4 linked regions of the Arabidopsis thaliana genome follow. The protein of the gene in region 1 interacts with the protein of each later gene in a pairwise test. Each region holds a gene or a part of one and is shown on either strand. Other genes may lie near its edges.

Region 1 (7,448 bases):
ATTTTTACTTGGAAGTATGTTTTAGATGGGACATGTCGACTGCTTGTTTGTTTCCCAAACTTGGAGATGTCGTGTTGCAAGCGTAATTATGTGTCTATATATATGTGTATGTTAGTATATACAATGATATATTAAATTGTTGTTGTCTGTGTCTTTTGTTGCAGTTATCCAACAGATACAGACAAACTCATGCTGGCTAAGCAGACAGGTCTCTCCAGAAATCAGGTTTCACTTCTGATATCTTCAGTCTTCTTCTTTTTTCTCTTTCCATCTTTTCTTGTTCACAATTTAACAAATTTCTTGCTAATTAAGCATGCACATAGTCACATAGATAAATATATGCTTTTATGAAATGAGTTTCTGTTGTCGGACAATAATTATATGTTTTAAATCTTTTCACATATATCATTAGTATAGTAACTATGTTATAATTTGGTTTATTAGGTTTGAATAAGTGTTACACTTTTGTTTTTGAAAATTTATCCGTTGGTGATAATGAATAATTTAGGGATTTTCTATCGCTTGAGGGTTATTAATTTATTATGGTAAAATGTTATTTTAGGTATCGAATTGGTTCATAAACGCAAGAGTTAGGGTTTGGAAGCCGATGGTGGAAGAGATTCACATGCTGGAGACTCGACAATCTCAGAGATCTTCTTCTTCCTCTTGGAGAGACGAACGTACTAGCACCACCGTCTTCCCTGACAACAGCAACAACAACCCATCTTCGTCCTCGGCACAGCAAAGACCTAACAACTCATCTCCGCCTAGACGGGCACGAAACGACGACGTTCATGGCACAAACAACAACAACAGCTATGTAAACAGTGGGAGCGGCGGCGGTAGTGCGGTTGGTTTCTCGTATGGAATTGGGTCGTCGAATGTGCCGGTGATGAATAGCAGCACAAACGGAGGAGTGTCTTTGACGTTAGGGCTTCATCATCAGATTGGGTTACCGGAGCCTTTTCCGATGACAACTGCTCAGAGGTTTGGGCTTGATGGTGGTAGTGGCGATGGTGGTGGTGGGTATGAAGGGCAAAATCGTCAGTTTGGGAGAGATTTTATTGGTGGTAGTAATCATCAGTTTCTACATGATTTTGTAGGTTGAGATTATTTGTGTGGAAAGGAAAAAATATGTTTGACGTTTGGGTATGTATAAGAAGATATGGGGGAATTGAAATGCATATGATGTGTATATTAGAATGTTTCTTCTTCTTTTTTTGTTGTTTGCTTACTTTCACAAATGTTATCTTTTTAAGAAATGAAATTGGATTCAATAACCAATGTTAAAAACATGGGTTAGACTTTAGAGTTGTCTATGTCTTGGTGAAATATAAAAGGCATCTATCATTGTTTTAATATTTTGGCATGATTCAAAACATGGTGCTTTTTTTTTTTTTATGTATGTCACAATTATCGTTGAAGAACGCGATTAAGATGTTTATCATTGATCGTTGATATTATATTTTGAACTATCTTGTTTTACTTGATAGTAAACATTGACTAAACAACATGTTTTCAAACCCTAAACCTTGAAATATTTCAGACTATTTGAGTTATCTTTTTGAGTCGGATGCAGTTTTGACTCCGATCCGCTCAACATTGTTGAATTCTTCTACTCATAAAAGAAGTTTGAGCCGATTTCAAACACACAAAACAAATGAGTTCGGTTTAATGTTCAGTGTGTACTAATACGTTGGCTTTTGAAGATCACATGAGAGCAAAAGTATTGAAAATAAAATTGTGCTTTTGTTGCTTCAAATAACTTTCCATTTGCTTTTGGAAAACAAGAAAGATATATATATATATATATATATATATATATACATAACCTTTCCCTCTCATGGGAAAAAAGTAAATCTTTTTCTTTGTAGAATTTATTCTCCGATCCTAACCATTTCTCAGCCTTTTTGTTTGTTTACACCATTTTTGTTTATATTCTTGGATTATGTCTATATAGAATAAGATGTAAACATAAACTGTATTAGCAAATATGTTTTGAATTATATGAAATTCAATAATTGAGAAGAGGTTCATGTAATGAGCCGAGAGAAGAATATAAAAGCAGTCAAATAATTTTTTCAAAAAACTATTTGTATATTAAAAAGGTACAAAGTAAAAAATAAATTTAAGAAGGTGCCATCATTGGCTCCTAAAGAACAAACTACAAAGAATCAATTTCTCATGATTTGATCTCTCACAATCCGTCTCCTTTATGTGGATGCGGAAAAACACTCTCCACACGTTTCATGTAAAAATTTTAGTTAAATTTCTAAAAACAATAGAGATACTATTCGATTTGTTCTTGAATTATTCATGAATACATATAGTGGCAACCTTAGACACTAGCCACGTCAACCGTACATGTTATATCATATATTTTTATATTGGTCTATCTATATGCTGAACTAGAGTCTAGAGATAAATATGAGAACATATAAGAAACCATGGACAACTAAAGATATTGTCTTTCTGTGTGAGTATTTGTTCCAGAAGCATTAAACCTTCGGAATAAGTATAATTCTTTTGCACCATTACTATTTTTATAAGCTTCACCAGCTCTATATATATTCTCACCATTAACATAAAACAACAACAACACGAAGAAGAAGATGAAGGTACTTGATGATGAACGGGTAATCTGCATCCTGAGGTTTAAAACCAATTAAGCATATACATATGCGAATGTATAGTTTTTAATCCTCGGGATACAGTTTACCTCTTCCTTACTCAAGAAAACACTTAGCTTTAACGGTTTTGGAGAAAGAAGAAGCATCGAATTAAATCCATTTGAAACAGGTTAGTTATCTTAGTGAAGAATATATCCATCAATCATAATTTGGTCTAGTCATTCGAAGTGGGATATGATTTGATACATATAGTCTAAAATATGATTTTATGCCAGTAATATTTTGTTTTCCCTGTCCCCTACCTATATCTAGAGCTTGAGATCCTCCTTTTAAAACTTTTAGATGATTAATCGTTTTACAAATCATAGTCCCAGACTTTCGTTCCAATCTAGATCGGTTTAGATGCGTTTTGTTTTGGAATTTATACAACGAAAACCAAAGTTTAGATTAAAAGATTCGAAAACCGGATTACATAAAATCTGGTCCAGGACCCCTTTGGTTAACGAAAACCAGACTAAAGGGCAGAAACGTCATTTGACAAAAAGAAGGATGATTCTCTCCTTCCTCTTTCCCCAATGCAAAGAAAAAGCATTATAGACTTTTCAAGTTTTCCGATATAAGCACGAAATCGCTGTTTCTCTCTTCGACGAAGCTTTGATAATTTGATCTCAATCGATCGATTCTATTGAGAATTTGTGTACCTGTTTTCTTATAAGGTTAACTAAGGATTGTGGAATCAGAAGTGTTGTGTTTTTGTGATCGGAGATTATGGATTGGGGAAACGTAACGGTTGATGATCTCTTCGATGCTCTCCGAGAAGTTGACTGGTCGTCTCCGCCGCGTCCTCCGTCTGAGTTCTTCTCAAGGTTCACCGTTCCTAAATCTGTCCCTAAATGGGATAGTCGCCTCAAGTGCAATCTCTACTAGTACGATCTCTCTCTCTCTTTCTTGTTCGCCAATTTCATATCTATTCGGATCTGATGTTGTGATCAATCTCTCGTTGAGAATTACCAATCAAATTCGTCCCAATTGAACATAGAATTCTTAGACTTTGGTTAGAACACAGAGTCTTGATAGCTTAGTTTCTGTATTGAGCTTAATTTTGACCTGTGATGATGATCTGTTTATGCAGCTACCGAACAAACTATTTCATCATGATCGTCGTTATACTTGGTATGTGGTGTGAGGAAGTGGCTAAGCATTATCATCTGTGTTGTTTATCAATGATGTCTTGTTCACTTAGAATTGTCAAATTTTACTTCTCAGGATTGGGAGTCCTTACAAGGCCTTTAGCGATCTTCGCTGCGCTTTTGACAGCATTAAGTTTGGCATTTCTAAATGACAGGTTTTTCTTCATCTTCCTTTTGTTTTTAAACTCTCAGAGCTTTGACTAGTGGATATGCTTGAATCAGTAGATCCATATTGAGTATTCTTGTCTACAGCTTTGCAGGTTCTTTTAGTGAGAAGGCGACACGAACCGTCAGAAGATTCTCTCCACAGTTAGCTGCTAAAATGAGACCTCCTTTGACGTATGTTTATCTCTCTTTGTTGCCTTTCATACTCTTTGTTACTCCTTGCTTATTATCATCTATGTTATCTGTGTTTTTTAGACCTGTCACTCGTGGGCGTCCATCATCAAAGAGAGCAATCCATGTATGTGGTCAACCCCGTTGGGTTTTTGTCTTGACATGCTCACTTGGTATGTGGCTTTGTATATTTTCATTTGATGTAATATATCTCCAAAAACCGTAAAAAACATGATTTGGAGTTTTTTTTTTGTTTCGCAGTGAGTTTTGCTCTTTGGTATATTTCCTCTGGTTTGCTCAGAGTCTCGGTTGCGCTACTCATTGCACATCTTGGTATGCAGTCTACACAAATCCTCATAAGTCATAACTTAGTTTCTCTCACTCTACTTCAAAAATCCACATATAGGCTTTTATAAACTCAACCTCTTTTTGTAATTTGTGTTACAGCAACAATTCTTCATGCAAGCTTGAGAACACCGAACTTGAAGGCACGTTTTAACACATTTAGGGAGGAATTCCGAGCAGTATGGCGTAACTACAGCGAGATTTAGAGTAATGTAAGTTTGAAATATCTTCTTCTTAGTCTAACATCTATTTGCTTAACTGGATGGTTAGATTTTCTGAAATGTTGACAGTCTTTGGCAGCTTGTACCACCATGATCGTGTTCTGCTGAGGACATAACGCTGTAAAGACCAAACTTACTGCCTTTCTCCAAGATAAACCCGGTTTCGTTAACACTGTACTATGGATGTTCAATCTGGATTTGTTGCTCAATGACTGGGATCATCTGTTTTTTCTTTGATTTGAGATTTGAGCTCTGAGCTCTTTTTGCTAGCAAAATCCTCTCTTTTTTTTGCTAAAGACTTGTAAAGCTAGCTTTGTTGTTCTTCGTTCTAACACAAAACCCTTTGTGTAAAGTCCTAGAATCGTTTAATAGCTTGCATTTTTTTCTTTCTTTTTTTGGGTTGAGAGGTCTAGTAACAATAATAATGAGATAACAAGAAATGGAAAATAAACAAATGATTTGACTACTTAGCCGAGAGTTTTCGGATAAGAATAGGCAATGGGAAAATGCAAAAGAATTATACTTTATTGAGGTCGTAACATTTTTTCCAACTGACACTCGAAAGAGTTGCATCTTATATCTAGCAAAGTACCTAAAAACCCATTAAAAACATGTAGCAATATTGTTAACAAGCATAACACATGACCTCACTTTCAACGATTGCTCATGGTGATATCAAGTTCATCTAAGATAAACTCAAAAGTTTAAAGCAAAAAGAAATCTCGCTCTTATTCTCTGAACAAAGTTCAGTTTCACTTCTCGACAAAAGACTTGAGATCCTTGAGCCATTGAAGATACTCTCTGCTATCTTTGTTGGCCACATAATCTGCCAGAAAGGTAGTGAAGCTTGGTTTAATACCTCTGATCTCCAAGTACCTGTGGAAAGCCTTCTGCAAATTCTCATCCAAGTCACTGCACATAACACAATAACCAAATTCAATCACATAACAATACCCCAATCTCATATATTCCAAACAAGAACTCACTATCATTGAAGTAAACTTACTCAAAGTCAGGTCCTTCGTAAGCAAGGTCATTATCAGATCCTTGCGGTTGTTTGATCGATAAACTATCAATCACAATCTCATCCGGGTATGCGCTGACTCCAAACTCAAGACACACACCATCACCTTTCTGCACACTAACAACCATCGGAACCCGGACTTTACCCGAGCTCTCTTGATCTTCATCGTCTTCTTCATTGTTTGGTTCTGCTTCCTCTTCTTCATCTTCATCATCATAAGAAGCAACAGAGTCAACTTCCACTTGGATGGTTTCATCCTCAAATTTCCTTGTCAGCAACACAGTTCTCTCCCCTGAATTATCAATGATTTCAAATGGAAACCCTTCTGGCTTATCTTCCAACTGTTTTTCCAAAACATTTCTAATTCAGATACAATTGTTCTAAACCCCAGAAATATTAAAATCTCATGAATTCGAGAAGAATCATGTATATTGAAAGAGAGAACTTACGAAGTCAGTGTCATGAGGAGCCTCCTCTGCGACGGCGCATTCGATTTCAGATTCGATAACGCTAACAAGATTCTCGTCGGCGGTTGTTTTAGAGATCGCACTTTCCGTCGAAAAGCTCGAGACTGAGAATGAACTAACCGATCCACGCCTGATCTGGTGGCTACCACGAATCAGCCTCTCGACGGAGACAGCGCCACTGCGGAAGCTAACCGGAGATCTACCCGCACGGAAAGCAAGATTGGCTACTGTTGACGAAGCTCGACGAAACACGGTGCTCAACGCCATTTCTGAGGATTCTAGGGTTTTCCTTAAAAGTGAAAAGAGAAACAGAAATGAGGGTTTTACTGAGAGAAGAAGAGAGGTTTAAGGTTTGTTTATAGTGCAAAGCATTATGTAGGAGATAAAAAGCCATTTAATAAGGCCCAATTACTTAATGGGCCATAAGAAGCCCATATATTAAAAGGAATTGGTCATTCGTACAGTGAGAGAGGAATGTCTGTGTGTGGACACGTCCTTAAAGGCAAAAGGAGAGAAGAACAAAATAGCTCTTGCCGGCGTCAGAATTGCGTCACTGTTTCTTCCAACTTCAATTTTAATATCGTTGGCTTGAAGTTAAGGGAAACATAATTGTTCCTCCAAAAAAGCAGAATTAAATTTGTGGTAGATACTTGTTTTTAAATTCATATAGCTCAAAAAAGTTGTCATTTTTAATGTTGGTTTTCTGGTGGCGATGCTCTTAATTACCCAATTCCGTACGATTTATGATCATAAGTCAACTTTTGAGATTTGGGTTTGTGAAATTTTCCTGAATAAAATTATGGGTTTAGGGTTTTTATGATCAATTTCCTGTAAAGTAGCGATTTTTTTCTCCCGGGGATTTTGGTGAGGAACAGGATAGAAAGTCTTGGTTTTGTTCTGTTTATTGTGTTTGTTTTTGGGTTCTGATCAATGAAGAAGATGATTGGGAGTCCTGGAACAATGAGTGGGTTGATACTGAGACTAGGGCAATGTGCAACTGCTGCTGCTTCCATTGGTGTTATGGTTTCTTCTTACGACTTTTCCAATTACACTGCTTTCTGGTAATTGTCCATCTTCAATCTCATTGGTCTTGGTGTTTTGGTTTAGTTTAGTTTAGTTGAAGACATTGGACACTGATGTATCAAAAATCTTGACTTTGTAGTTTTTTCTTGGATAAACTTTTGAAGATAGAGCTAACTGAACTAGTAATTGTGTATGATTAACATTTGCCTGAA
Region 2 (7,850 bases), on another chromosome or scaffold:
TCCAATGGCAAAATTAGAATATATTTTTCTTTATATGAATGCGTAAGAGAAAAAAATTTCTTCACTTTGTCAGAGATGTTCGTAAGTTGGCCTTTTTTCAAAACATCATACTTTTCATTTTTAAATGATCATATAATATATAGATCTTTTTTTGTTTGGTCAAATATATATATATAGGCCTTTTAGATCAGAAAATAAAGTATTGTTATTTCTTTTTTAATATTAAAACAAAAAAAATGATCTTCACCAAAAAATAACAAAAAAAATTTTTGATCAAAAACACTGAAAATGACTTCAAAATGATACTTGACCACGTACAAAATGCCAGTTGCATGGAAAATGAAACAAAGAAAAACATTTTCTCATTTTCGTAAATATTGACGTAGGATCACACACACACGTATACACACTTGTAGACTTCGAACTTCTTTGTACGATACACGTTAATTGATGGTCTTCGTCGTGTGGACAGAGTCGTCGTAGATTTTCAAAGCACGAGCTGGGACCACTCAAGAACACACATAACCAATAGCCTTAAACAAAACTGGTCATCACACTTTTGAAAGTTTTTCTTGACTATGGATGGGTTAATTTGGATCAGTTCCTAAACCATGATTTGGGTTTGATCTTTCACCATTATATAAAGAAATTCGATCTTAATTGCTACCTAATTGCACTAAGAAAAAATAAAAGATTCAATTCTGATATCCGACCACAAAAAATCATGATACAAGAGTTCCTCTCTTCTTGGAACTTCTTATACCAAAAACAAACATGGCTTAGCATCATCTGTTAGACTTGTAACTAACATTTCTAAATACCAAAACGCTTCACAGAAACCCCTAACTAACTAATATATCCGATGTTACTGTTAAAGGACCTAAAGTCTTTAAGTGGAAGAGGAAGTGACAAGAGATTCTTGATTCTTCTTGGCTCTAGAAGCCCTGTGTCTTTTCTTGAAGTTTTCTTGTCTGAATTTTTTGGTTTCTATCCCTATCTCCATGAATGGTCTCTTCACTATATTTCTCTTCTCTGTCTCCAGTTTCTCCTGTTTCTTAGCTACCGCCATTGCTGCTGCTTCATTCTTTTCCTGCTGCTTCTCTGCTTCCCTCTAATCAATACCAAAACAAATCAATGCTTCTTTCAGTGAATTGATGTATTAGGATTGATAAAGAGAGAGAGAGAGAGAGAAGACCTGAAGATCGTGGATGAGACAGTCGAGAGATTTGATCTTCCTATGAGGCCACCGTGGAATCCCAAACTCTCTGCATTTCTTTTTCAAAACAGTGAGACCGACCTTGAGATTCCGAGAAGCTTCCACGATAGTGAGGTCAAAGTATTTTGAAAGCTCTTCTAAGGATAGTTCAGCAACATGTCTCGATGGTGTCCTCTTCTTCTTCTTCAAAATCTCAGTCTTAGCATCTGTGTTTTTACAATAACCCGAAATTAATCACCAAAATGCTTAAAACTGGACCTTGTACCAAAAAAAAGAGAGCTTAAAACTGGCCTAGAGTTATATATTATCTGGAAGGCAAGTCTATTGACATTTGAAGAAAGAGATTTACCTGATTCCGACTGTTCAGTTTTATCGTTTTCAAATTCCGAATGTTCGGTTTTTTCGTTTACAGATTCCTCGGATTCGGTTTCTGAATCAGGAAGGCAGTTAAGATCTTGTTTCAGAACGAGCTTTCGTGGTTTAGGCAGATCAGAGTTATAATATCCCTCTGTACTGCTACTGCATTGTTCTTCTTCATAAATCTTTGATGGTTTTAACTCGGAGATAAACTTGAGCTCGTTGGCTAAATTAGGGATGTCCTCCAGTTTGGGATTTCTATCAATAAAAAGAGCAAAAACATGTTTGGTTGCTAAAAATGCTCACAACTCAAGTAACACTACAATGTGCTTTTTTTTTAGTAAAATGTTAAGTTTTAGAACATCTATGAATTTCTTTTACCGAATACAGAGATAACAGAAGATCGAATTCTATGCAACACTACAATGTGTTATTGTTACAAGCCTATTTGTTCACAATTAGGTAATCTTAACTCATTCACTTTACATAGTCCATTGCTATTTTTGTGCCATTGTTGTCAAAATTTGACAGTCTTGGAGTCAATAAGACAGTAACACTATATAATCTACAATTCGATTCAAGAGACCTAATTCTAAAAAAAATCAATCTGTTATGTGAAAAATATAACAGCACCAAAAATTTTTAAAACAAAAACGTTCCGAATAATGAATGAGTCAAAACTGGCGTTACCTGGAAAGACAGAGAAGAGTAGGAAACCGAGGAAGCGAGTGATTAAACCGGAACACAAAGATACAACGCCACGTGCCAAAAACCGACCCTTCCGAGATCTCCGGTCGCCGGAAATCTTCCGAACGAAACAGAGGCTTCGCTTTCTTCTCTACATAACAGCTTTTGCTCTTGAACCAGAACTCTCTCTCAATCTCCACCGATTCATAGACATGCAAACTCCTCACCATCTCTGCATTAACAAAACCCATAGAAACAAAATAAAAACCATTTTTCAATCCGACCCGAGTCATTCCGACCCGATTCGAGATTCTAGTCAGAGTTTTGACTTACCTTTGCGGATGACGCTCTGGAAAACGGCGAGTGAGGTTAAGGAATGTGCCATGTCCGAAGAAGACCAAGAGTCGCAAAAGCAGAAGCCCAAGATTTTAACATAAAAAAGTTTTATTAATATATTTTTCTTTTTTTCCTTTTTTAGTGTGAAAAATCTGCAGAAGAATCCAAGGTTTTATGTACTTGAAGCGTTTGTCATTAAGTGAAAAGGCTCCAAGAAAAGTAGGTTAAAATTTTACCCTTGGTCCACCATCGAAATTACCAAAAAGGCAGAATATTCCGGAACGCACGTGTAGGCAAGCGGAGCGTGCGAGGGTAGTTATGTAAAATTAACAGTGGGAAGCGGGTTGCACCGAACCAAGCCCATGTAGCTAAACACTCACACGCGCGACGCATGTCTGAAAAGTGGTAATTGAATTTTGTTTAGAATGATTCTACAGAGGTTGAATTTGGTAAATGAATCAGAGGAATATTAAGCATTTGAGCATAATTTCCAATTTGGTCAGATTATGATATATGTAAATATGTCCATGATTCATTTTCTGTTTTTGGGTTCTCTTTGTTCATTTATTAAGTCATGGGCTGAAGTTTTCATATTTTAAGTCATGGGCTGAGTTCTCAAGGACTAAAACTGGTATTGATATTATGATCTGTTAAAAGCCAATTCATTTAAGGTGTTCAAAATCTAAACTGAATAATTGCGTTAAATTAAGCCGGACATGTTTCAATCAAAAGTCAATAGAATGTGTCAAAATACTCTGGGTACTTGGGTAGTATTAGTAACATTAACTTACAAGGATTTTTCTCTATATAAAAATACAGAGTACTAGTTTTGATTTTATCTGAGTGAGAACTTTCTAATAAAACTCTAATCGAAAACAATTAATATTTTGTATAAAATGGAGTGTAGAACCTAAATATTTTGTATTGCTTGGATATATAGTTTTTTTTCTTCTTAACATGGATATATAAGTTCTATTTCGTACATATTTCCCCTAATTTTAATGTTGAATTTTGGAAAACTTTTGTTGGATAGTGACATGAAGACCCTAATTTTAATCATAACATTTTGGAAAACTTGATTGGGTGAGTGATATGGAGGTGATGTTAACGTATGTTTGGTATCAATAGTTGGTCCAATTAGGCCCAAAGAGTCAAAAAAGGTGCCCAAGTGTTGTCAAAAGAGAAAACAATTAAGAATAGGGCAAAGCTTGGCCAGCAAGATTTAGTGGTCATTTCCTAGAAACGTGTCCAAGAATTTATAAAGATGGGTTGTCTTATAAATACATATCGTTCACGTAATTACCTGAGATCAAATCTTAATCATATCATTCATCGTATATAGACTCCAAACACGTTTTTCAAACTCCTATGATCATGTGTTCTCTCTTTGCCTCCGTCTTTGATTGCTTTGTTCCAAAATCAGACTCAAAGATTAGCTCAACTGATGAGAGTGACTTGAAAGTCCTGTCCTCAAAGAAACCAAAAAGCAAATCCCCGAGAGCTCCGATTATGGTGTCTTACTTTCCCGCCGGTTCAAACCTTTCGCGTCTATAAGTGCCAAATAGAAGAGAAGAGAAGATGAAGTATTGGGATGTTGATTTTGATATAAACGAAAGAAGTTTTTGGTTGTAGACATGTTGTATGCGCAGGCTTTAATTTTATGTTTTATTTAATTATGTACAAATAGACCATTTAGATTGATAGCATCATATATATGCTTTGTATTTAAGACCAAATAAAAGATTAATGTTTATATACATGCGTAAAAATGTTAAGAGCTTAGTTAGTATCATTTTCAAAAACTGATTGTCACTTGAGCTTTTATTTTTCTTATTTTTTTAATTAAGAAAAGTTGTGGCCCTCAAAAAGTTACATGGAATCGGAACAGGAAAAAAAAAATGTCGAAAACTGATTAATCTAGGCAACGTTATCGCATTTTCATATCTTACAAATCCCTTTTTCAATTCAGATTTGGTAGAAATGCAAGGAGAGTTCCATAGTGTATATGTAAAATTTGTATAAAACGTCTAGAAGAATTACAATGCTGAATTTGTTGGAAGCTCTGTTTTTCTCTGCTTAGACGTTTCCAACGTGTTTTGGGTTTCTCTGATCACTGTAAAGCCTAAACCACAAGAGAAGAAAAACCACGAAGCTTTGGGCTTTAAGGCCTTTTTGGGCCCTAGCCACAATAATGGAAGCCTATCAAGAAAAGACAAGACAAGACAATAAGACAGAAGAGGACAAGTGTTTAAAGTGGAAGTTATCTTTCTCACGTGGTCTAAAGAAAGGTTAAAAAAAAAGAGGGAAAAAAAAAAGAAGATGAGAGAAAGCAAAGTGTTGAAGACTTTTTAGAAAGCAGAAAAAAAAGCAGAGAGTGTATTCAAAGTCGGAAAGAAACCCTAAAGAAGAGGATTATGGGTGCTGTATCGATGGAGTCGCTTCCTTTAGGTTTCAGATTCAGACCTACCGATGAAGAGCTCGTCAATCACTACCTCCGTCTCAAGATCAACGGACGTCACTCCGATGTCCGTGTCATCCCTGATATCGATGTCTGCAAATGGGAACCTTGGGATCTTCCTGGTTCGTCTCTTTATTCTCTCAAAATTTGATTCCTTTTATTCTCAGATTCTGTTTTCCCTCTCAAAGATTCCACCTTTTTTTTCTTTACTCAATTGGAAACAAATCTGATTGTCGGCAGCTCTCTCGGTGATTAAGACGGATGATCCAGAGTGGTTCTTTTTCTGCCCTCGTGATCGGAAATACCCTAATGGTCATCGCTCTAACAGAGCAACTGACTCTGGCTATTGGAAAGCTACTGGTAAAGATCGTAGCATCAAGTCTAAGAAGACTTTAATCGGTATGAAGAAGACTCTTGTCTTCTATCGTGGACGAGCTCCTAAAGGTGAGCGGACTAATTGGATTATGCACGAGTATCGTCCCACTCTTAAGGATCTTGATGGCACTTCCCCTGGCCAAAGCCCTTACGTTCTTTGTCGCCTCTTCCACAAGCCTGATGATCGGGTTAATGGTGTCAAGTCCGATGAAGCAGCTTTTACGGCCAGCAACAAATACTCACCTGATGATACATCATCTGATCTTGTTCAAGAAACACCTTCCTCTGATGCTGCTGTTGAGAAACCATCAGATTATTCAGGTGGATGCGGTTATGCTCATAGTAATAGTACCGCAGATGGGACAATGATTGAGGTATGAATGGAAACTCTTGAATAATTAATTAGGCTTTTTTGAGTGACTTGACTAATTTTGAGTTTTGTGTTCATAGGCACCTGAAGAGAATCTTTGGTTATCTTGTGACCTTGAAGATCAAAAGGCACCACTACCGTGTATGGATTCTATATATGCTGGTGATTTCAGTTACGATGAGATTGGATTCCAATTTCAAGATGGTACCAGCGAACCAGATGTATCACTAACAGAATTGTTGGAGGAGGTGTTCAATAACCCTGATGACTTCTCTTGCGAGGAATCGATCAGTCGAGAGAATCCAGCAGTCTCACCAAATGGGATATTTTCATCTGCTAAAATGCTGCAGTCTGCAGCACCAGAGGATGCTTTCTTCAACGACTTCATGGCTTTCACTGATACAGATGCTGAGATGGCGCAATTGCAGGTGAGCACAAAGATACATATTTTGAGGCCTATACAATTTTAGAAGTATCCAAATTATTTTGCTTTAAGTAGGCTAGAAACCTCTAGATCAGTTATCTTTACAATCACTCTTGACATAAGTAAAATGACAATTTTTATCTTTTGTTTGATCAGTATGGTTCAGAAGGTGGAGCTTCTGGTTGGCCAAGTGACACTAATTCATACTATAGTGATTTGGTTCAGCAAGAGCAAATGATCAATCATAACACAGAGAACAACCTCACAGAAGGGAGAGGGATAAAGATCCGGGCTCGACAGCCTCAGAACCGGCAGAGTACAGGATTGATAAACCAGGGTATTGCTCCAAGGAGAATCCGTCTGCAGCTGCAGTCTAACTCTGAAGTAAAAGAACGAGAGGAGGTGAATGAAGGACACACTGTTATTCCCGAGGTACGAGACTAGTGATTCCAAAAGTTGTGTCTTAGACATCAATAACATAAAGGATGCATCTTTTTAATTTGTTGTTAATGGTGGGGATGTGCAGGCCAAAGAAGCTGCAGCTAAATACTCAGAGAAGAGTGGTTCTTTGGTTAAACCTCAAATAAAGCTCAGGGCGCGGGGAACTATAGGCCAAGTAAAAGGAGAGAGATTTGCAGACGACGAGGTAAGAATGAGTGAACTTGTTTACACATGAATGAAGAAAGAGTATAGTAGTAAGCTCTACTAAATACTATAGAATTAGAAAGAAAAAAAAGAGAAAGCAATCAGTAGAGCATGTGAGATCAGCTAGTAATGATAAAAGAAACTGAGAAGTATCTTTGTCTAAAGAGAAGTTTGTTGTGGTTACAGGTACAGGTGCAGAGCAGAAAGAGACGAGGAGGGAAGCGATGGAAGGTGGTTGCAACGGTAATGGTGGCTGTGATGGTTGGGGTAGGGATGGGTATATGGAGGACACTGGTGAGTTCATGACACATGAGACACAAAGAGAGAGAGAGAGAGAATCAAATGTAGTTTAATGTAATTAGGGATGATGCAATGTTAGCATGTTTGTGTGTTGTAACTTAAAAACTTATTTAGGAATCTGATAAAAGTTACTGTTGAATTTACACGGATGGTCAAGATTAAATGTACCAACATCTTAATTATCTACGGTCAAGATTAAAAATACCAACATCTTAAATTAACACCGCATCAAAGAATTATCTCAATCGTCGTCTCTCCCCAATTCAAAAAAAGAAATAACCTAAACGTGTTCACACAGAGGTAAGCTCGCTCCTACTCGCCGCCTCATCTGAGTCAACTCCGAGTCAGCTATTTTTCCCCACCGGATTCTCACTTTTGTTCCTCTCTGTGACAGATCTCGAGATGAAAGATAACCAAACGGAAGTTGAATCGAGGAGCACTGATGATAGGTATCTTTATATTTATCCGTAATCTCGATTCTTAGATTCAATTTGTTTCCGTAGTTTTGAAATCGTCTTTTATGATTCTCAGATTGAAAGTTAGAGGGAACAAAGTTGGAAAGAAAACAAAGGATCCAAACAGGCCTAAGAAACCACCAAGTCCTTTCTTCGTCTTCCTGTAAATAAAAATCACTAATCTCTCTTCTTCTTTTTTCTTCACTAATTTGATTACAGTAATTAAT
Region 3 (7,686 bases), on another chromosome or scaffold:
TTTGTATGTATTCATGCCCAAGTCTAGTAGTTGGAAACTTGTGAAGCAAAATATCGGATTTTCGCAAGGATAGACAAAACCAGTAATAAAACCAAAATTTTTTGAAAATCACAGTTTCAATACACCCCCCTTATTGTTTCTATGGATAATTTTTATCACCATATTTCATTTAATACTCTACTTCACAGTTTTAACATGGATGATTTTAATCACCATATTTTATTTAATATTTTATTCACCATAGTTTTACTAATGTTGAGATACATTTGGAGTCCCTTGGGATAACGGAGACTATAAAGGAGAATAATTCTTCGACGGCCCAAGAAAAGACAAAATCGGTGATCTTCCTTATAAGACAAATGGATGAAAGTGTCATATATGACTATGCACACATGAGAGATCCTAAAGAATTCCGGAAATATTTGAAAGATCGTTTCGATCACCAAAGGGACATCACTCTCCCACTTGCCCGAGACGAATGGCAAAGTCTAAGGTTTCAAGACTTTGACAAGGTAATGAACTACAATTTTGCCAAGTTGGGAATTGTCGCCAAACTGAGATATTGTGGTGAAACTATCACTAAATCTCAGATGCTTGAGAAAACGTACACCACGTTTCACAAAAACCACATTACTTTGCAACAACAATATAGGTTGCGTGGATATACCAAATTCTCAAATTTGATTGTGGCACTCTTAATAGCTGAAAAAAACAGTGAGCTCCTAATCAAGAATCACATGTCCCGACCTACCGGATCAAAGGCATTCCCTGAGGTTAATGCATTGGATGTTAAAAATCCGCTTAGAGAAAACAAAATTTTTTGGGGACGGGGCGCCGAAGCTATCACAGACGTGGAAGAGGCTTTAATCCACAAACCAGGAAGTCATACCAAAAGATTCGTCCTGAGCATGAATCGAAAGGAAAAGAAATCCAAGCAAATACTTTTCAAAAATGTGACAGTGCTTGTTTCAGATGTGACCCTAAGGCACATCGGTATCAGGTATGCCGAACTCCAGCACACCTTTGTGCTCTGTACAAAAAATCTGTTAAGGGAAAAGGAAAGGAAGTGAACCTTGCGGAACATTCTGAGGGTACAACCCACCTTGATGCTTCTGACTTTGCTAATGATCTCGATGAGGTTGTCCTTGTGGAAAACTGAAATTTCTATCGTGTGGGGCTCGAATTAATATGTCATAAATAAATCGACGCTTGCTTGAAATTTCCTAAGTTTGTGTGTTTGTATTACCTATCATGTGTAATTATTGTGTGCTTGTGTTACCTATCATGTATAATTATCGGGTGTTATATGCTTGATTAATAAATTTATTTTCTACTTACCTTAATCGATTATGTTTATTTCAGAAATGGATCACATTACAAATGGAATGGTATCCAAGGCAAACCTTAGAGATATTTGCATACCGAATAGTGGAACAACACACACTATTCTAAAACAAAAAAAAAAATTCTCTCATTTGAAATCAACAAAAGTTATTGTTAACACAATATCAGGTCCCATAGACTTAATTGAATGGACCGGTAAAACAAATTTTGCATTACTTAACGGGACAAAGTTCTCGATAAATAATGCATTATTTTTACCAAATTCAAAAAGAAATTTGTTGAGTTTCAAAGATATATACCTTCATGGATATGACACTCAGTGTGCAAGTGAGAATGAAAAAAAGTACATGTATATCACTTCTGAAAAATTGGGAAAAAGACACGTTTTGGAAAAATTACCAAGACTCCCATCAGGATTGCATCATACATACATTAATTCAATAGGATCACATCTTGTTATCAAAAGAGATCATGATGATTTCACATTGTGGCACGATCGCCTTGGTCACCCAGGCACCACGATGATGCAAAAAATTATAAAAAGCTCACATGGACATTCAATGAAACCCTAAGAGTTTTATCAAGAAAATAAAAGGACATGTGTTACGTTTTCTCTTGGAAAATTGATTATAAGGCCATCGACAAGCAAAATCGATAAAGAATTACCAAAATTCCTTGAACGAGTCAAATGCGACATTTGTGAACCTATACACCCACCATGTATACCATTATATTATTTCATGGTAATGATAGACATGTCTAGTAGATGGTCACATGTTTGTTTGTTATCATCTTGAAATGTGGTATTTGCGAGATTTCTAACTCAGATAATCAAAACTAAGAGCTGAGTTTCCTGATTATCCAATCAAAGGAGTTAGATTAGATAACGTTGGTGAATTTACGTCTCAAGCATTCAATGATTATTACATGGTAACAAGAAAAAATGTCGAACATCCTGCACCCCATGTCCATAGTCATTCGAGGGAGAGCTTGTATGATTATACTTTTTTACCTTACTGTGGTTTCTACCAATGGATTTTATTAGAAAAGTTTTAACGAGACAACATGAAAGATATCGCAAAGAGATAAATGACAAATGAACTCTGGACGAGAAGAATGTTGCAAAAATTAAAGAAATATTTACATATTAAGTCCATTTGCATTTTATCTATATACACTCATATAGATAAAAAAAAAACAACGTAAAGTTTCTTTTATTATTATTTTTCTTTCGTGATTGTTCTTTTTCTCATATTTCTTCTTTTTAATATATTTATTATTATTCTTTTTAAAATATTAAAAAAATTGAATTGATAAATAACTTATAATACAAAATTCTATTAAATTATATTAATAAAATTAACCGCTCTGTGTTTTATTTTTTCAGAGGTTTACTTAATCTTCAATAAGCGTAAATGTTTTGGTTGGTAATGTTATTATGTTTATAAAAAAACAACTAACCAAGTTTTTACGTTAGAAAATATCAAAAACACTTTTGGAAGGAAAACTTGGGTACACGATTGAAACGACGTCGTTTATGAAAGCAAAACAAAACCCAGAAAGTTTAGGTCTCGCCGGAAAAATCGAATCAAGCATCTTCTTCTTTCACGTACGAAACAAAAAGCTCAGAGCAGAGTCGAATCGGTACGAATCTTTATCTAAATCACTCTGATTTAGTTTCGGTTATTGTGAACCATTTGATTGCTCTGTCCTTTCAATTATCTATCTAGGTTCGATTACTTCGTTAGCTGCTTAATTCTGTGATCAATTATCTCATTTAGTGATTTTGATTTTAGGGTTTTCTCTTTCTTCCTTTAATCTTATATTGGGATCTTCTGTATCGGATAAAGTCATAACCTTTGAGATAAAGGAATCATCTTTATTGCTGAAAATGATTGAGCTTTAGGTCTAATACAAGTCTGAGAGTCTGATTTCGATTCTGAGTATAAAAATTGAAACTTTCTATTTAGGGTTTTCTTAATCATTTGTGTTGCTATGGTTGCTTAATGTATCACTAAATCTTGGTCTTATTAGTTGGTTGCTACTGATATAGAATTGCATCTGTGAGTAAATTTAGCTCAAAGATAAAAGAGTCCCCTTTATCGCTGAAATGATCGAGCTTTGAGCTCTAATACAAGTTAAAGCGTTCGAATAATCGATTCTGATCATAAAAATTGAATCTTGCTATATAGTAGTTGCTTAATCATTTGTGTTGCCATGGTTGCTCAATGTAGCACTTAATCTTAGTTGATTCTTAGTTAGAATTGCATCGGTGAGTAAACTTGGCTCAAAGATAAAAGAGTCCCCTTTATCGATGAAATTGTCGAGCTTTGAGCTCTAATACAAGTTAAAGCGTTCGAATATCGATTCTGATCATAAAAATTGAATCTTGCTGTATAGTAGGTTCTTAATGATTTGTGTTACCATGGTTGCTCAATGTAGCACTTAATCTTATTAGTTGATTCTTAGTTGGAATTGCATCGGTGTGTCGTTGGGATTGTCTTTGAAGGATTAATATGTGTTTTCTCTTTGCTTATGAAGCGATGAAGCATCGAGTTCGGTGTTCATGAAGGTCAGAGAGTTAAGTATTAGCAGAACTGGTTAGGTCTTAGTGACAAACAAGGTATTCATGTTATCCATCCCTGATACTAGAATGTGGAATCTAGCATCGAGTTATCTTACGGGAAACATTGGACCGAAAAACGATATCAGAAGACCGGTCCATGCTCATGCGGAGTGTTCAGATGACGATGTATCTTCTGTAGGTAGTAAAGACGAAGGTCTCGAGTGTCCTATATGCTGGGAATCATTTAATATAGTTGAAAACGTTCCGTATGTGTTATGGTGTGGACATACGATGTGTAAAAACTGCATTTTGGGACTTCAATGGGCTATTGTGAAATTGCCTACTCACCCGGTTCAGCTTCCTCTCTTCATTTCATGCCCCTGGTGCAACCTTTTGTCTTTCCGTCTGGTCTTCAGAGGAACACTCAGATTCCCTCACAAGAACTACTTTGTGCTTTGGATGGTCGAGAGGATGAATGGAGAGAGACGTAACTCACCTGGTGGAGCTCAAACAGATGGAAACAATGATCATACAAGGGAAACTCCATCTCCATGTCTCCACAATCGCCATCATCGCAGTCAACCTGAACCATCACGTTCTGTTAATGATCATCGCATTCCAAGGGACAACATACAAACTTCACTGAGGAAGTCTCTGGTTTTCTTTGTCCAGTTGACAGCAAAGTTCCCATTAGTTGTCATATTTCTGCTGATAATACTCTATGCAATACCGACCAGTGCAGCCATATTGGCGATGTACATTCTAGTCACTCTCTTGCTGGCTCTACCGTCGTTTCTCATCCTCTACTTCGCTTATCCTTGTCTCGACTGGCTTGTTCGAGAGATTGTCACATGAACTTTCTAAGGATGCGTTCAGAAACTTCCCATTCCTAATTTGACGACTTTTCTTCAACAACTGAGACCCAAGATCGGTCATGTAAGTATAACAATTTCGTAATTACCGTCTTCTTTATCTATATATGGATGTAGTTTTGGATTGCATTGTTGCTCTACGAAGCTGGACGTATGTGTTGTAAGGGCTCTTGCAGAAACTTATTAGTATTTGTGGATTTGTTTGTGAGTGTTTGAGTGTCTCAATAAGATTTATGTATATAAAGTTTATGCAATGTTATTTAGGAATTGCGTAACTAAATGCATTGATTTTTCTTATATATAATGACTAAATTGTATGGGTTTTTTTTTCTTTTGTTTGTTTGTTCCACCCATTTCCATAGAAGAAAGCAAAAGATGACACCCAAAATTAGGGGTGGGTGTACGGCTTTTCGGTTTGGTTTCGGTTCGGTTATTTCTCTTTTATGTTTTCTATGAGTTCTAGTCTAGATCATTTGAGCTTAAAGCGTTAATTGTGTTCTACGATATGAAACAAAGACTCAAAGAGCATTCAAATATGATGTATACACAAAAAGAAAGAGTTAAGCTGTCTTAGTTTATGTGTCCCTCTTCCACCGCAGCAAAATCAAGCCCGGAAATCTTCATCGGTCCAATGTTAACTGGCAAAAACCCCGGTGTGTTGATTCAACAAAACAAGACAACATAAATGTAATGAGAATGGCACAAGAATAAAGTGTTGGTTTTACTTACTAACAGCATCAAGTCCAGCTAATTTGGGCATAAACTGTCTGATATGGTCCTCTGCTGCTTCATCTGCCTTCAATGTCTCACACTCGAACGAAACCGATACTTTCTTCTTCCCGTGTTTTTCTTCGACTAATCCTATCACATCTTCCTCCCACCTTTCCAAAGACAAGTAGTCATATTCACTAAACATAGGACAGTAAAAGACTCTCACAAAAAGGTTTTCAAATTCAACTCATTCGAATGTTTTCTCCGAAAAGCTAAGAGCATAACAGATACGAGAACAAGGACAACTTACCCGTGAGCATGCTCGACATCATTAATTCGAGCAGCATCATGGCCTTTGCACTCCACTACAACTGTTTGTTCCTTCTTTCTCTTTTTCACCAAAAGAAACCAAGGAACAAACTCAATATCATGGTTTTGGAAATTAAGAGTTAAGAATCACAAAAGGAAGTGAGAAAATCATACATTGTAGTCTATGATAGTGAGTTTGATCAACCGATAATCCTCACCGCGGCTACACTCAGTCTCACAAGCTAGTTCTTTAAACAGAGAAAAGCAACATCAATAATACAACAAATTGCAGTGAAATCAAGCAATGTCATGTCAAAATTGCCACAGTAACTAAGCCATTGGATCTTTATCAATCATTCCAGTATCAATAGATGTAACTAGTGCAAGATTAAGTCTTTAATCTGAATCATTTACATGCTTGAGAACCAAACATTTCTATCAAATCCAAGCAAGAACACAAAACATCTAATTGCAAAACAGAATCAAACTCAACAAAGAGAAAAGACCACATTTTTTTGGTTTGCCCTAGTAAGAAGAGATTTGAAGTTACCAGTGCCATGGAGGCCATAACAGATAGAGCTAGGCATCTGAATGAAATGACCAGAGATAGTCCCACATGGTAACAAAGCTATTGATGCTACTCCTTCCTTCACTTCTCCTTCTTCATCTTTCTTCTTCTTCTTCTCTATCTCTCCTTCTCTTCCTTCATCTGCAATTACACCAATTCCTTTACAACAACATCATTCAACAAAAAAGAAACAGTTTCGAAATAAAGCCAGAAACTTTTACCCATTGTTGCTTGAGAGAGAGAGAAATCGATTCTTTAATTCACTACCAAAGTGTTCGGCTTTAGGGTGTTTTCAACTACTTAAAATCGAGAACGTTTTAAGATCCTTAAGCGACGTCGTTTCTCTTTTCAAAGCTTAAAACTACGTCGTTTACTCTCTGTCTCTGATGTATCTTCTTCTCCTTCCTCAGCCACAGAACAAGCTTTGATTCATCATTTCTGCGAAAAGAACAGAGCTTTGGCTTGGTTTCGTGTCTTAGGTACTGGTTCTTACGTAGCTTATGTTCTTTGTTTAAGGAAATTTAGGGGTTGTTTGCTTAGACTTGAAGTGGGTATTACTAAAGTTGTCAACTTTTTGTTGAATAGGAAATGGTTTCTCAGATTTCGTCTGAATTATGCTAAAAGATCAAGTTCTCTCTGCTCGGTGTTGAAATTGGAGGTGTTAGAGATTGCTGCGTTTAGCTCTTCACTGTATTATCATGGGAGCTGTCTGGTTGAGTCATGTCTCTCAATTGGTTTGTGGATGTTATTTAATTGAGCAGAGCTCTTGTGTTTTGAGAACTTTTCATTGGTCTTTGAGTCACTCATTGAACTTTACATTGACCATGAAGCCTAAACGAAGGCGTCTAGGTGTAAAAATGGAGTCTTTTTCTTTGGCAACACCAAACATGTGTTTCAGGAAGGTGAGTAGTGAATTAGACAGTTCTTTCAACGGTGAAAATGTGGTTTGTGGTTTGGAACTGGAGGAGAAGACTGCAGGGGATAGGAATAGGATACATTTTCTAGAGGAGCGGAACGAAGAAACTTTATCGAAGAGGCTTCGGAAACTTAGCAGGTTGGATAAAGTCAGAAGCGCATTGGAGTTGTTTGATTCTATGAGATTCTTGGGTTTACAACCTAATGCTCATGCCTGTAACTCTTTTCTCTCGTGCCTCTTGAGGAATGGAGATATTCAGAAAGCTTTTACCGTCTTTGAGTTCATGAGGAAAAAGGAGAATGTTACAGGGCACACGTATAGTTTGATGTTGAAAGCTGTTGCAGAAGTTAAGGGTTGCGAGTCTGCATTAAGAATGTTTAGAGAACTAGAAAGGGAGCCG
Region 4 (9,613 bases), on another chromosome or scaffold:
TAAATGTAAATGTAAAAGTGATGTCAATGTGTCTTCAAGATATGAATTCTAAAACAATTCTAAGACTATGTTACATACAGAGCAATACTGCAACTATTACATGATTGTTTATACCTTGCTCTTGCCTAAAACCCACAGTATCTCAGCCAAAACTTTCTCTTGATTTCCTTATCGGCCTGGGTTTACACACAAAGCTTGATACTCGCAGGAATGGCCAAATTTCTTTTGATCTTACAACAACACGTATTCATTCATATCTACTAACCTGCCCCGAGTTTGCGGCTGCAGGACATAGTTGTGTCAATCAGCCATCATGTCCACATGGGATGCAGAGCTCAAGAATCGTTCTGCTACCAAAATCAGTGGCCAGTTTTTTTGGACCAGAGAGCTTACTCAGACAATTTGCAGCATCCAACATGCCAAGCATTTTCTTTTACACCCCTTCTCGTTCCTCGAATAAAGATATGGAAATTCTTTCCCGTAGCAATGGCCAGTCTTCACCAAGTTGATGTGGATTTAGCTCCATTGCAACTCTAAAATCAAGCAAAGACACTGAATGTTGTTCTCGCGTTATGTCAGATGGTTGGTTGCTAGTTTGTATGTGAAAACTATTATTCGTTCGCACCCCATTTACAAGCTCGTCTCGGCTCTGCTGTTTTTCTAAACTGTGTTTTCCAGGCGTTCCATTCATGGACCGAGCTCCAGCCAAATCAACGCATGATTTCATTAGTTTCTTCAGGTACAAGTCCAACATGTTATTTAAAACAATAGAACACTCCGCTGAAACCCCTCCAAGACCCTGTGTTACTGCAATATTCTCCATCCTCTTCCTCAGCATCTCTGTATCTGATAATCCACCACTGTCATAGCAACTGATAGCAGCTGCGCTGGTCGAAACTGGAACTGTTCTGCGGTCCCCACCGACACTAGCCGAACAAAATGGAATCCCCAGAGGTGCCATTACAGGAGGTGTGGAAAGAATCCTTACTTGAGCTTCATCATCTCTGCTAATTGGAGCTGCAACCTGATCTTTACCGGAAACCGCCTTTTGTTCAGCAGGGCAAAGAAATGCACTGTCTCTTTCATCAGGATATCGACCAGGTCTTGAATAAGCAAAAGGACCCAAAACCTTTCCGTTTGACCCTAGCGGACAAGGCTTATCTCTGATTGTCCTGTCGTCACATGTTCCAGGCCTAACCTTGGCTAACACCCCATTGGACAAAGCAAGATCATTCCTAATATGGTCAGGGTTTAGAGATCTGCTTTCTTCAGGTCCATCTTCTTTCCCAAGCACCAAAGATTTGCCAGGGTGACCGGATTGGTGAACTGATGGTGGGGACTTAGCCAGAGATGCATTTCTCAAGATGGAACGAATCAACTTATTGTGAAGAGAAAGATTCTCTCTCCCCAAAAGACGGAAACATGACTTATCAAACTCACTCTTAGTAAGCTTCTGACTCAGAAACCTGCCCAAGTAGTAAAAATACCTTGTAGATCTTTCAACCCCAACCTTCTTCACTATATGCACTTTTAGCTCAGCTAGATCAATCCTGGGATCTTGAAGACGTTGCATACTTCTTTCTGGCTTCTTCTTCTAAACCGAAACTAAGTGAAACAGTCAGAGGAGTGCACAAAATGCACCCTCTCAGCTTCTAGTTATCCTTCACACAAACAAACCCAACTCATCAACGTATTTATTCTCAAACTCAAATCCAGAAGCATTTCAAGAACTCAGCTGAAGCTTTTTAGTACAGGCCACTCCAATCTCATCTCCCCAAAAACCCAAACCCTAGAGATCATTATCTACTAGCCAGCTTTGAAATTCAACCTCGGCTGTTTCAGAATCAGAGTATATTACAAACCCTAGCTTGGAATTAGCAAATCAATCCATCAAGAAGGAAGAATCAATCCAACTAACCGTTTCTCCAAGTTCACGAGCGAGTAAGAAGACGAAACTGAATCAGAGCAGAAAAACCCCGCATTTTTTGTTTCACGCCCAATTCGGAAGCTAAGAACTTTGAGAATTCCCGAAATTTGAGTTGGAGCAAATCGAGATCAGTTGAGTTGAACAAATGATTGGAGCTTTGAGAACAGAGCAACAGATTCGAATTGCCTAAAGAATGATGAAATTCGAATTGAAGAAGGAGGAAGCGGGCAATGAGAAGCGGGACCCAAGCTTGTAAGCAGAAGAACAAGTGTTGGAAGATTTGACCAGAAAGAATTCAGACAAAAGAAAAATCGGAACAAAACAAGTAACTTCCGAGTTCCGACACCAACCCAATGATTTCTCGGCTTCTTAATAATACACTTCTGCTTCGATTGAATCTTCGTGGCTTCTTCTTTCGTATGGCTTTTCAGATTTGAATGTCTGAGCGCTTTCGCTCTTCTGTGTTTATTTTAGCTTCGATCGCTGCTTATTGGGTTTTTGTTGTTCGTTTTTCTTCACTTTTGTTTCTGTCTGTTTTGTTTTTTCTCTCTCTCTTTCTGTCTGTCTTGATAAAATTGGTTATTGGGTTTCTTCTTTTCGCTCGTTATTGCTTTTGTACTTTGGTAAGAGATTGTGTAACACTAGATTGAACCCATTTGATTATATTCATCTTACAATGTTTTGATCTGAGTGATCTCATCTAATATTGGATCATGTCAGAATTTGTTTACTTGACACTTTACGAGGTTAAAAGATGAGTGGTGTTAGTACTTGAGATTTCCCCCAAAAAAATTAGGTGTTGGCTTTTTGGTCAAGTAAAAAAGATTTAAAAATTTGGCATCGAACAAAAGAAAAAGAGTTTCAACATATGGAAACTGCAAACTACAAAGCTTCGTCAGCTGGAACGAAACCAAGCTTCAAACTTACAACATTAAACATTAGAGATTTCAGACAAATGAAAGAAACAACAGAGACACAATTCCACATAACTCGACAAGACAAATCCTCCTAACTCAAATACTACAAGATAACCTAAAAAGATAACGAAGTGACCAAAGACCAAACACAAACAGAGTGGGATTCAAATCTAAAAGAGATGTCACATAATCCTACCTCATCATAATACTCTCCTACTGCATTGTGTTTGTTGTGTACAGCTCATCTTACAAAGTTTATTTGGCCCGTCCTTTGCCTCGACCTCCTCTGCCTCTTCCTCTACCTCGGCCTCTTCCTCTTCTGCTGTATGCCAAGACCTTGGTATTTCCCGGGCTGCTACTTGCTGAGTTTGAGTTAGGTAGAGACTGGTCTCCTGGGAGCCACTCTTCTTCATGGGTGCTTGAACTGTTAGAGGCACTTGAGTGGCTGTCATTGCTTTCGTTATTAATTGCACCATCTGAGCCATTCCCTACTGTCATATCATCACCATGAATTTCAGCTATAGGCTGAGAAGCCTTGGTTTCTTCTGGTGGTGTGGGTTTTGGTTGACCTTCCATAACCGCTGGTGAACTGAAAAAGTAAGGCTTTGCTTAGGAGGAAATAATGTCATCATGTCAAACTAGCCAGACAAAGGAGTTGCTTTTCACCTAGGTGATGAAGATGGGAAACCGTTAGAAGTATGACGTGATGCGCCTATTTCATCAGCTTCTTTTGATGTTTCAAACACATCTTTAGGGATGCAAGAGTTCCCAGTAGGATCCAAAGTTGCCCCAAGAGCCAAGACAGCTGCATCAATAGGAGCGCAAGTAAATTAAGAGAACCCAACTAAAAATCAGAACCAAAGGAATTCAACATCCAATGTATACCATTTGTGGTGTTTCCGATAGTAGAAGTAGGTTGGATAAAATCGCCATCTTGATCATTGAAGTCATCTACAGCAGTTCCACTGTCGCATACAGTTGAAAAACTTCAGAAGATTGATATACTAAAAAACATATCTGTCAAAAAGAAACAAGGTACAATCTGTGTTGGAAGGATAAGCACAATAAAAAGAACCTTTGAGGAGCGGTATTCGTATCTTCAGATGGCTTGACTCCTTGTGTGGAGATAAATGTCTCCTCCAAACCAACTCCACCTAATCAGAACACATTAAATCCATGAGACAGAGTATAAAAAGCGAAGATGAGAGAGTGTATACAAATTAAGGATTAAGGGAGAAACTAACGAGATCTAGTGTGTAAAACTCCTGTTTCTTTGACGGCTTGATTAGCTTCCGTAGTCTTCACTCAAGTAAAACACACAAGGACACCAAAACAAGAAAGATTGGAACTGCAAGTTTTTTCTTGGTAATGAGAGACACATAGTGTAAAGAGTGCTTGATACCTGATTGTGCTCAGAGGTAGGTATGGCTGAATTTGGTAGAGCTCTGCTTTGTTCATTCCGTACAGCTGAAAGAACAGAAAAGAAGAGTTAATTTCAGTTTCAACTCATGTCTTACTGAAAAACTTCTTCCACGTGTGAATAAAGAAAGAAAAAAAACACCTCCATCAGCATTCAAAGACGAAGCATTTCCTTTGAGCATATCAGTCGCTAAAACATAGGGGCTGTATTTAGGTTCCAAAGAGGCTACACTACTGGGACTTTTAAGCATTTCCTCGGTTGCTTTAGCTCTGACTTTGCGAATTTCATCTTGAATATTCCATGACTGATTAGAACCGGACTTCCTTTTCAGCTGCATTTGGTAACCAATGTCAGAATGAATAAGGGTAAATTTGAGAGAGCCATTGAAAATACATATAACGGTATGCAACTTTTCTTTAGGAATAGCTGGAAATAGTGTCCCACAAATTCCTCGTGGTTATCTAACATAAACAATAGAAGTTAAGCAGAGAATTTTATCTCATAAACCAAGATGAAACGACTTCAGACTTTCAAACAACATTTGACCAAAAGAAAAGTATGCACTGCTGGAGAACTTAAAATTCTAACCTTGGATGAGGAAAAGTTTCCAGCGCTATAAGGAAGGGGTGTCCCTTGCACTCTTGCTGATGATGGTGATCGAAAATCTAAATTATTCGCAGCTGGAGATCCCCATGGCAGACGAGCTCGCATATAAGACTTGGCCACGTCCACAGGCGATCCAGCACCATCTTCAGTTGCCTGGAGATTTAAACTAATGGCTGAGATGGTGATCATCATTTAAAGTACAATGGAAAAAGAATACTGTGAAGCGAAGCTATCAGAAGTTGACCAAAATCATGTAAGTAAATGGTCTTCATAGTCAAAAGAAGAGCAACAATATGGATCTTTTGCATTTTAAGCGGACAAAAAGGTATTTCCCAATCAGGACATTTCAGAATTAACGTCACCAGATGGCCACACGCAGAATTCTGAACAACCTACTTTTGCAAGAGAGCTTTAAGTTGCTGATCACATGGATTGGCATATAACAATCAAATCATTTTACCCAAACAGAAGATGTCTCCTTCTATAATAATAATGGCTTAGAGCACGGAGACAAGATATCACAAAAAAGTTGATACCTGCAGGCTGCAGCAATTAGAACAGTTAAGAAGCAAGTTTCCAGAACTTACTTTATACTTTGAACTTGATCCTGATTTCTTCTCCTCCAACCATTTTCTTGCTTCCATGACAGCTGTATTGGACATTTCACCCACATTCACGTCTAGAAATAAAATAGAAAAGAAGACGTTATCACATAGACTAATCCGGTCTACTTGCACAGTCTACCATCAGTAACATACCGCTTGTCAATCCATAGTCATCATGACTCGTCTCAATAGCAGAGGGGACGCTGGGATGATCTACAACCCTAGCCTTGATGATATCTATTAACCTATCACCCTCTTCCCTGAAACAACATACACATGAATGAATAAGCAGGATACAAGATCAGCTTAGATTTGGTAACTACACACGTCTCAGAAAGATTCTTTAAGCTATGAGGTGTAAATAATAAGAATAGTCGAGGAGGCTGCTACTTATGATGTCCAAAAAGCCAGGCAGAGAAATACCTTGCAAATGTTTCTTGCAAGAGAAGCTGCTCAATTACACGCTTAGAACTGAGTCGTTGAATGCTTGGTTGCTGGGCACTCAGAAGGTCCTATTCACACAAGCACAAAAACTGAAATTATGCTTTTATAAAAAAAACTCTCAGTTGAAAACGTGTTAGCTTCACGAACTTTACTTCAAACAATTATCATAGGACTACAGTGGCATAGCAATCACCAAAACGAACAAGGTGGTTAGTACCTCTTCAGTAAAATCGGGATTGTTCTTCTCAACATCCTCATCACCATCAATATCTGCAAACAAAGAAGAAAACATATAAAAATCCATACATTAAAAGAATAAGACACAACAAAGCTGGTTGGTATTCTCAATCCCAGAACTACATTATATGAATAAAAATTAGAGCTTTAGAATTAGTATGAAGTTTATAGCTTAGAAGTAACCTAACTAAATAGAGTACAACAATGCTTAACTGCTCTTAAGTCCCACATATTAAAGGAAAGAGAAAATGGGAAAGCTTTAAGTCAAACTTCACATTTCAAACGAAACGGTAGCTTTCAGATTCGACCAGACAATAAACCAAAAATTCAAATTAATCCTATCTAAACTGAAATAAATGGTACAAACCTGAAGATGAATCCTCGTCCTCCTCCGAAGATGAGGAAGAGTCGGAGAAGACGACGGAAGAAATGAATTTTCCGGCGCCGGAAGCAATTACGCTGGCGGGTTTGTAAACGAGCCTGGAGATCCAACTAGGGTTTTGCTGAGGAGGATCTCGGGATCTCTGAACGGGGCGCTCACACGGCGTCCTGACAACAGCGGTGCGTCGTGGTCGAACAATTTTCCCACCGACTCGAGGCTGACCTGCTCCGGCGGCGTAACCGGAGACGGAATCCATGGTGAAAGTGAGAGGAGGAGGGAGAAGTTCGTTGTAGGAAATAATGAAAGTGTTGAGGAAAAATTGGTAATTTCTCGTTATTTGTCGTCTTCTTGTTTTTTTTTTTAATTGGGGGTGAATAGTTAGTTTCCTAAATTACAGGCCTGCGGTTAAAATTTCTTCCACTAATAAAATTAGGCAAAAACAAAACATTGCGATTAAAAAAAATTAATCGTAGTAAAATCATGTATTATATTCTTCTCTTTTCATATTTTGAACATATCACATGATGTTTAGATCTTATAAATGCAGTAATTTAATAGAGAGATTAGAATTTGGAAGAAAAAAAAGTTACATGATTAAACGAAGTAATTAATCAAGTTGTAAGTAGTTATTTTAAAAACAATATTAGAAAAATGTTTTTTGGTTACTCATACAGTAATACTTAATTCGTCAACTGTGTCAGTGTTACAAAAAGGCTAAAAGAATGGGCCAAATGGGCTACTCTTGTATCGGGTCAGGAACGGGTCAGTTCCAACCCGATCGGATCTAAAATGGGCGGGGCGCCTTCCTTTTCATTTTGATGGCAATCAATCATCATCAATCGACGCTTTTTTAGAGACAAACACGATCGCCGATCCATTTACGAGCCGTCGTTGCTCTACACATATCAACAACAAATCTTATCCTCCCAACTATCTTTTCTCTGATTTTCTTTTCTTCTCCAGTTTCCATTTCTAGAATCGATCGATATTGAAGGAGAGAAGATGCCTGGTTTAACATGTAACGCGTGTAACATGGAGTTCAAGGACGAAGAAGAACGTAACCTTCATTACAAATCCGATTGGCACCGCTACAATCTCAAGCGCAAGGTTTCATTTCTTCTGCTTTCTCTATCGAATTTGAACTCAAGCCTATCTGTTTCTCGGGAAAATCTTGCGTCGGTGATGAGATGAAAGTTTCTGAGAAACAGCTTTTCCATTTTGCTATCGAAATTGTTTAGTTAAGGTTATGGAATCGTAGAGTTTATATGAAAATTTGTTTTGAAGCTTATTCTACTAAGGAACAAGGATTTCAATAATCATAGATTTGGTTACTTCTAGGCATTTGAATCTTTGTATTTCTGTAATTTTTTATGTTAGGTGGCTGGAGTTCCTGGAGTTACAGAAGCCTTGTTTGAGGCTAGACAATCTGCTCTTGCTCAGGAGAAGAATAAATCAAATGAAGCACCTATGCTTTATACTTGTGCAATCTGTGCTAAAGGTTACAGGAGTTCCAAGGCTCATGAGCAGCATCTTCAGTCGCGTAGCCATGTTTTGCGGGTTTCACAAGGGACATCAATCAACGGAGAGGAGGATATAGCGATTATCAGGCAACTTCCTCGCCGTGTTCAACACAGGGGTTCCATTGATGATGATAGTGAAGATGAATGGGTGGAGGTTGATTCTGACGAGGAATTGGCTGCTGAAGAAGCCTCTGATTCTTTGTCTAAGTTGAATGTGAATGAGTCTGGATCTGCTGAAGATATGGATGATGATGGTGATGCAGATAAGTATGAGCTGGATCCAACCTGCTGTTTGATGTGTGACAAAAAACATAAGACCTTAGAGAGCTGTATGCTTCACATGCATAAGCATCATGGTTTCTTTATTCCCGATATTGAGTATCTCAAGGATCCTGAAGGGCTTCTCACTTACCTTGGTCTTAAGGTTTGGACTCATCAATTTACCATTCAGTGTTCGTTGTTGTCAAGCTTTGAAATTCTTACTCCTGTTTACTTATACATTGCTCATCATTTAGGTCAAGAGAGACTTCATGTGTCTGTACTGCAATGAGCTGTGCCGTCCATTCAGCAGCTTAGAAGCTGTAAGAAAACATATGGAAGCAAAGAGTCATTGCAAACTGCATTATGGTGATGGTGATGATGAAGAAGATGCTGAGCTAGAAGAGTTTTATGACTACAGCAGCAGGTTTCAACTCTCTTCTATCTCTGATTATTCTTGTTCTCGCCTGTATTCCTCGTTCTATGCCAAATCTTAATCCGCACCTTTCTTTGGAATATATGAATTGAGCAGCTATGTTGATGAAGCTGGAAAGCAAATTGTTGTATCTGGTGAAACAGACAATACTGTAGAACTCGTTGGTGGTTCTGAGCTCTTGATCACGGAGAAGTCCGAGAACACAACAACGTCTAAAACTCTCGGGTCCCGTGAATTCATGCGTTACTACAGACAGAAGCCACGCCCAACTTCTCAAGACAGCAACCAGATAATTGCCTCTTTATCTTCAAGGTTTGTTTTCTCCAAACCCGTTAATCATCCGAGTCTATCCAATCAGATAATCGGCAAGGTAAACTAAGGTTATTCCAACAAATGGTAAATTCTCAGGTACAAGAGCCTGGGTCTGAAGACAGTACCGTCGAAAGAGGAGACTTTGAGGATGAAAGTGCGCAAGGAGATGAGCAAGAGAGGCGAGACAATGCGTACCAAGATCGGAGTGAAGAGTAATGTCATAAGAAACTTGCCCAATAACGTCCCATATTAGTTTCTGTGTATGTGCCACTTGTTCTCAAGTGTTGGATTGTATGATGATTTCATGTACTTTTGAGTCTTTGACCAAGTTGTGTTGCTACTTGGTAATAAGAGTAAGCTTTAAAAAGAGTATGTTCACTGAAATAGAAATGTTAAAAATTAATACACGAACGTTGACTTCTGATTTACTCTCAATATCTACATTGTCCAGAGATGCATGTAAAACAAAGAAGAGACAACGACAAAAGGGTACTACAATATCCCAAAAAGGCTTTTTGTTTAGTTTTTGTACAAAGGCTGCGACTGCTG

What was found.
Region 2: the proteins of PRA1.A1 (region 1) and NTL9 interact in a two-hybrid assay, tested with the Arabidopsis thaliana proteins (one large-scale study listed by BioGRID).
Region 3: the proteins of PRA1.A1 (region 1) and AT3G29270 interact in a two-hybrid assay, tested with the Arabidopsis thaliana proteins (one large-scale study listed by BioGRID).
Region 4: the proteins of PRA1.A1 (region 1) and AT4G31430 interact in a two-hybrid assay, tested with the Arabidopsis thaliana proteins (one large-scale study listed by BioGRID).

What each region holds. Positions count from the first base shown.
Region 1 is NC_003076.8:397,765-405,212, forward strand, and holds PRA1.A1 (prenylated RAB acceptor 1.A1), read left to right. Parts: upstream 1-3,134; 5' UTR 3,135-3,398; coding exon 3,399-3,556; intron 3,557-3,762; coding exon 3,763-3,803; intron 3,804-3,896; coding exon 3,897-3,975; intron 3,976-4,072; coding exon 4,073-4,159; intron 4,160-4,240; coding exon 4,241-4,329; intron 4,330-4,417; coding exon 4,418-4,489; intron 4,490-4,603; coding exon 4,604-4,707; 3' UTR 4,708-4,713; intron 4,714-4,791; 3' UTR 4,792-5,226; downstream 5,227-7,448. Other genes in the region: RPL (POX (plant homeobox) family protein), read left to right, coding at 165-225, 563-1,108; AT5G02050 (Mitochondrial glycoprotein family protein), read right to left, coding at 5,475-5,634, 5,729-6,087, 6,196-6,480; AT5G02060 (Uncharacterized protein family (UPF0497)), read left to right, coding at 7,144-7,274. UniProt on the Arabidopsis thaliana protein: May be involved in both secretory and endocytic intracellular trafficking in the endosomal/prevacuolar compartments.
Region 2 is NC_003075.7:16,887,905-16,895,754, reverse strand, and holds NTL9 (NAC transcription factor-like 9), read left to right. Parts: upstream 1-4,953; 5' UTR 4,954-5,010; coding exon 5,011-5,176; intron 5,177-5,294; coding exon 5,295-5,803; intron 5,804-5,879; coding exon 5,880-6,227; intron 6,228-6,379; coding exon 6,380-6,655; intron 6,656-6,749; coding exon 6,750-6,869; intron 6,870-7,035; coding exon 7,036-7,221; 3' UTR 7,222-7,350; downstream 7,351-7,850. Other genes in the region: RKD5 (RWP-RK domain-containing protein), read right to left, coding at 890-1,111, 1,196-1,422, 1,566-1,831, 2,264-2,492, 2,594-2,748, 2,833-2,846; HMGB5 (high mobility group B5), read left to right, coding at 7,571-7,617, 7,700-7,786. UniProt on the Arabidopsis thaliana protein: Transcriptional activator activated by proteolytic cleavage through regulated intramembrane proteolysis (RIP). Calmodulin-regulated transcriptional repressor. Binds several synthetic promoters with randomly selected binding sites.
Region 3 is NC_003074.8:11,231,353-11,239,038, forward strand, and holds AT3G29270 (RING/U-box superfamily protein), read left to right. Parts: upstream 1-2,820; 5' UTR 2,821-2,988; exon of another isoform or gene 2,989-3,885; 5' UTR 3,886-3,973; coding exon 3,974-4,765; 3' UTR 4,766-5,106; downstream 5,107-7,686. Other genes in the region: AT3G29280 (uncharacterized protein), read right to left, coding at 5,353-5,420, 5,512-5,690, 5,804-5,883, 5,977-6,050, 6,353-6,511, 6,592-6,595; emb2076 (Pentatricopeptide repeat (PPR) superfamily protein), read left to right, coding at 7,069-7,686.
Region 4 is NC_003075.7:15,245,691-15,255,303, reverse strand, and holds AT4G31430 (flocculation protein), read right to left. Parts: upstream 6,928-9,613; 5' UTR 6,795-6,927; coding exon 6,524-6,794; intron 6,190-6,523; coding exon 6,137-6,189; intron 5,988-6,136; coding exon 5,899-5,987; intron 5,736-5,898; coding exon 5,629-5,735; intron 5,550-5,628; coding exon 5,458-5,549; intron 5,024-5,457; coding exon 4,853-5,023; intron 4,596-4,852; coding exon 4,406-4,595; intron 4,312-4,405; coding exon 4,247-4,311; intron 4,144-4,246; coding exon 4,089-4,143; intron 3,999-4,088; coding exon 3,920-3,998; intron 3,810-3,919; coding exon 3,730-3,809; intron 3,650-3,729; coding exon 3,511-3,649; intron 3,434-3,510; coding exon 3,100-3,433; 3' UTR 2,745-3,099; downstream 1-2,744. Other genes in the region: AT4G31441 (uncharacterized protein), read right to left, coding at 305-427; AT4G31440 (transcriptional regulator of RNA polII, SAGA, subunit), read right to left, coding at 434-1,573; AT4G31420 (Zinc finger protein 622), read left to right, coding at 7,541-7,645, 7,916-8,482, 8,574-8,743, 8,846-9,064, 9,161-9,317.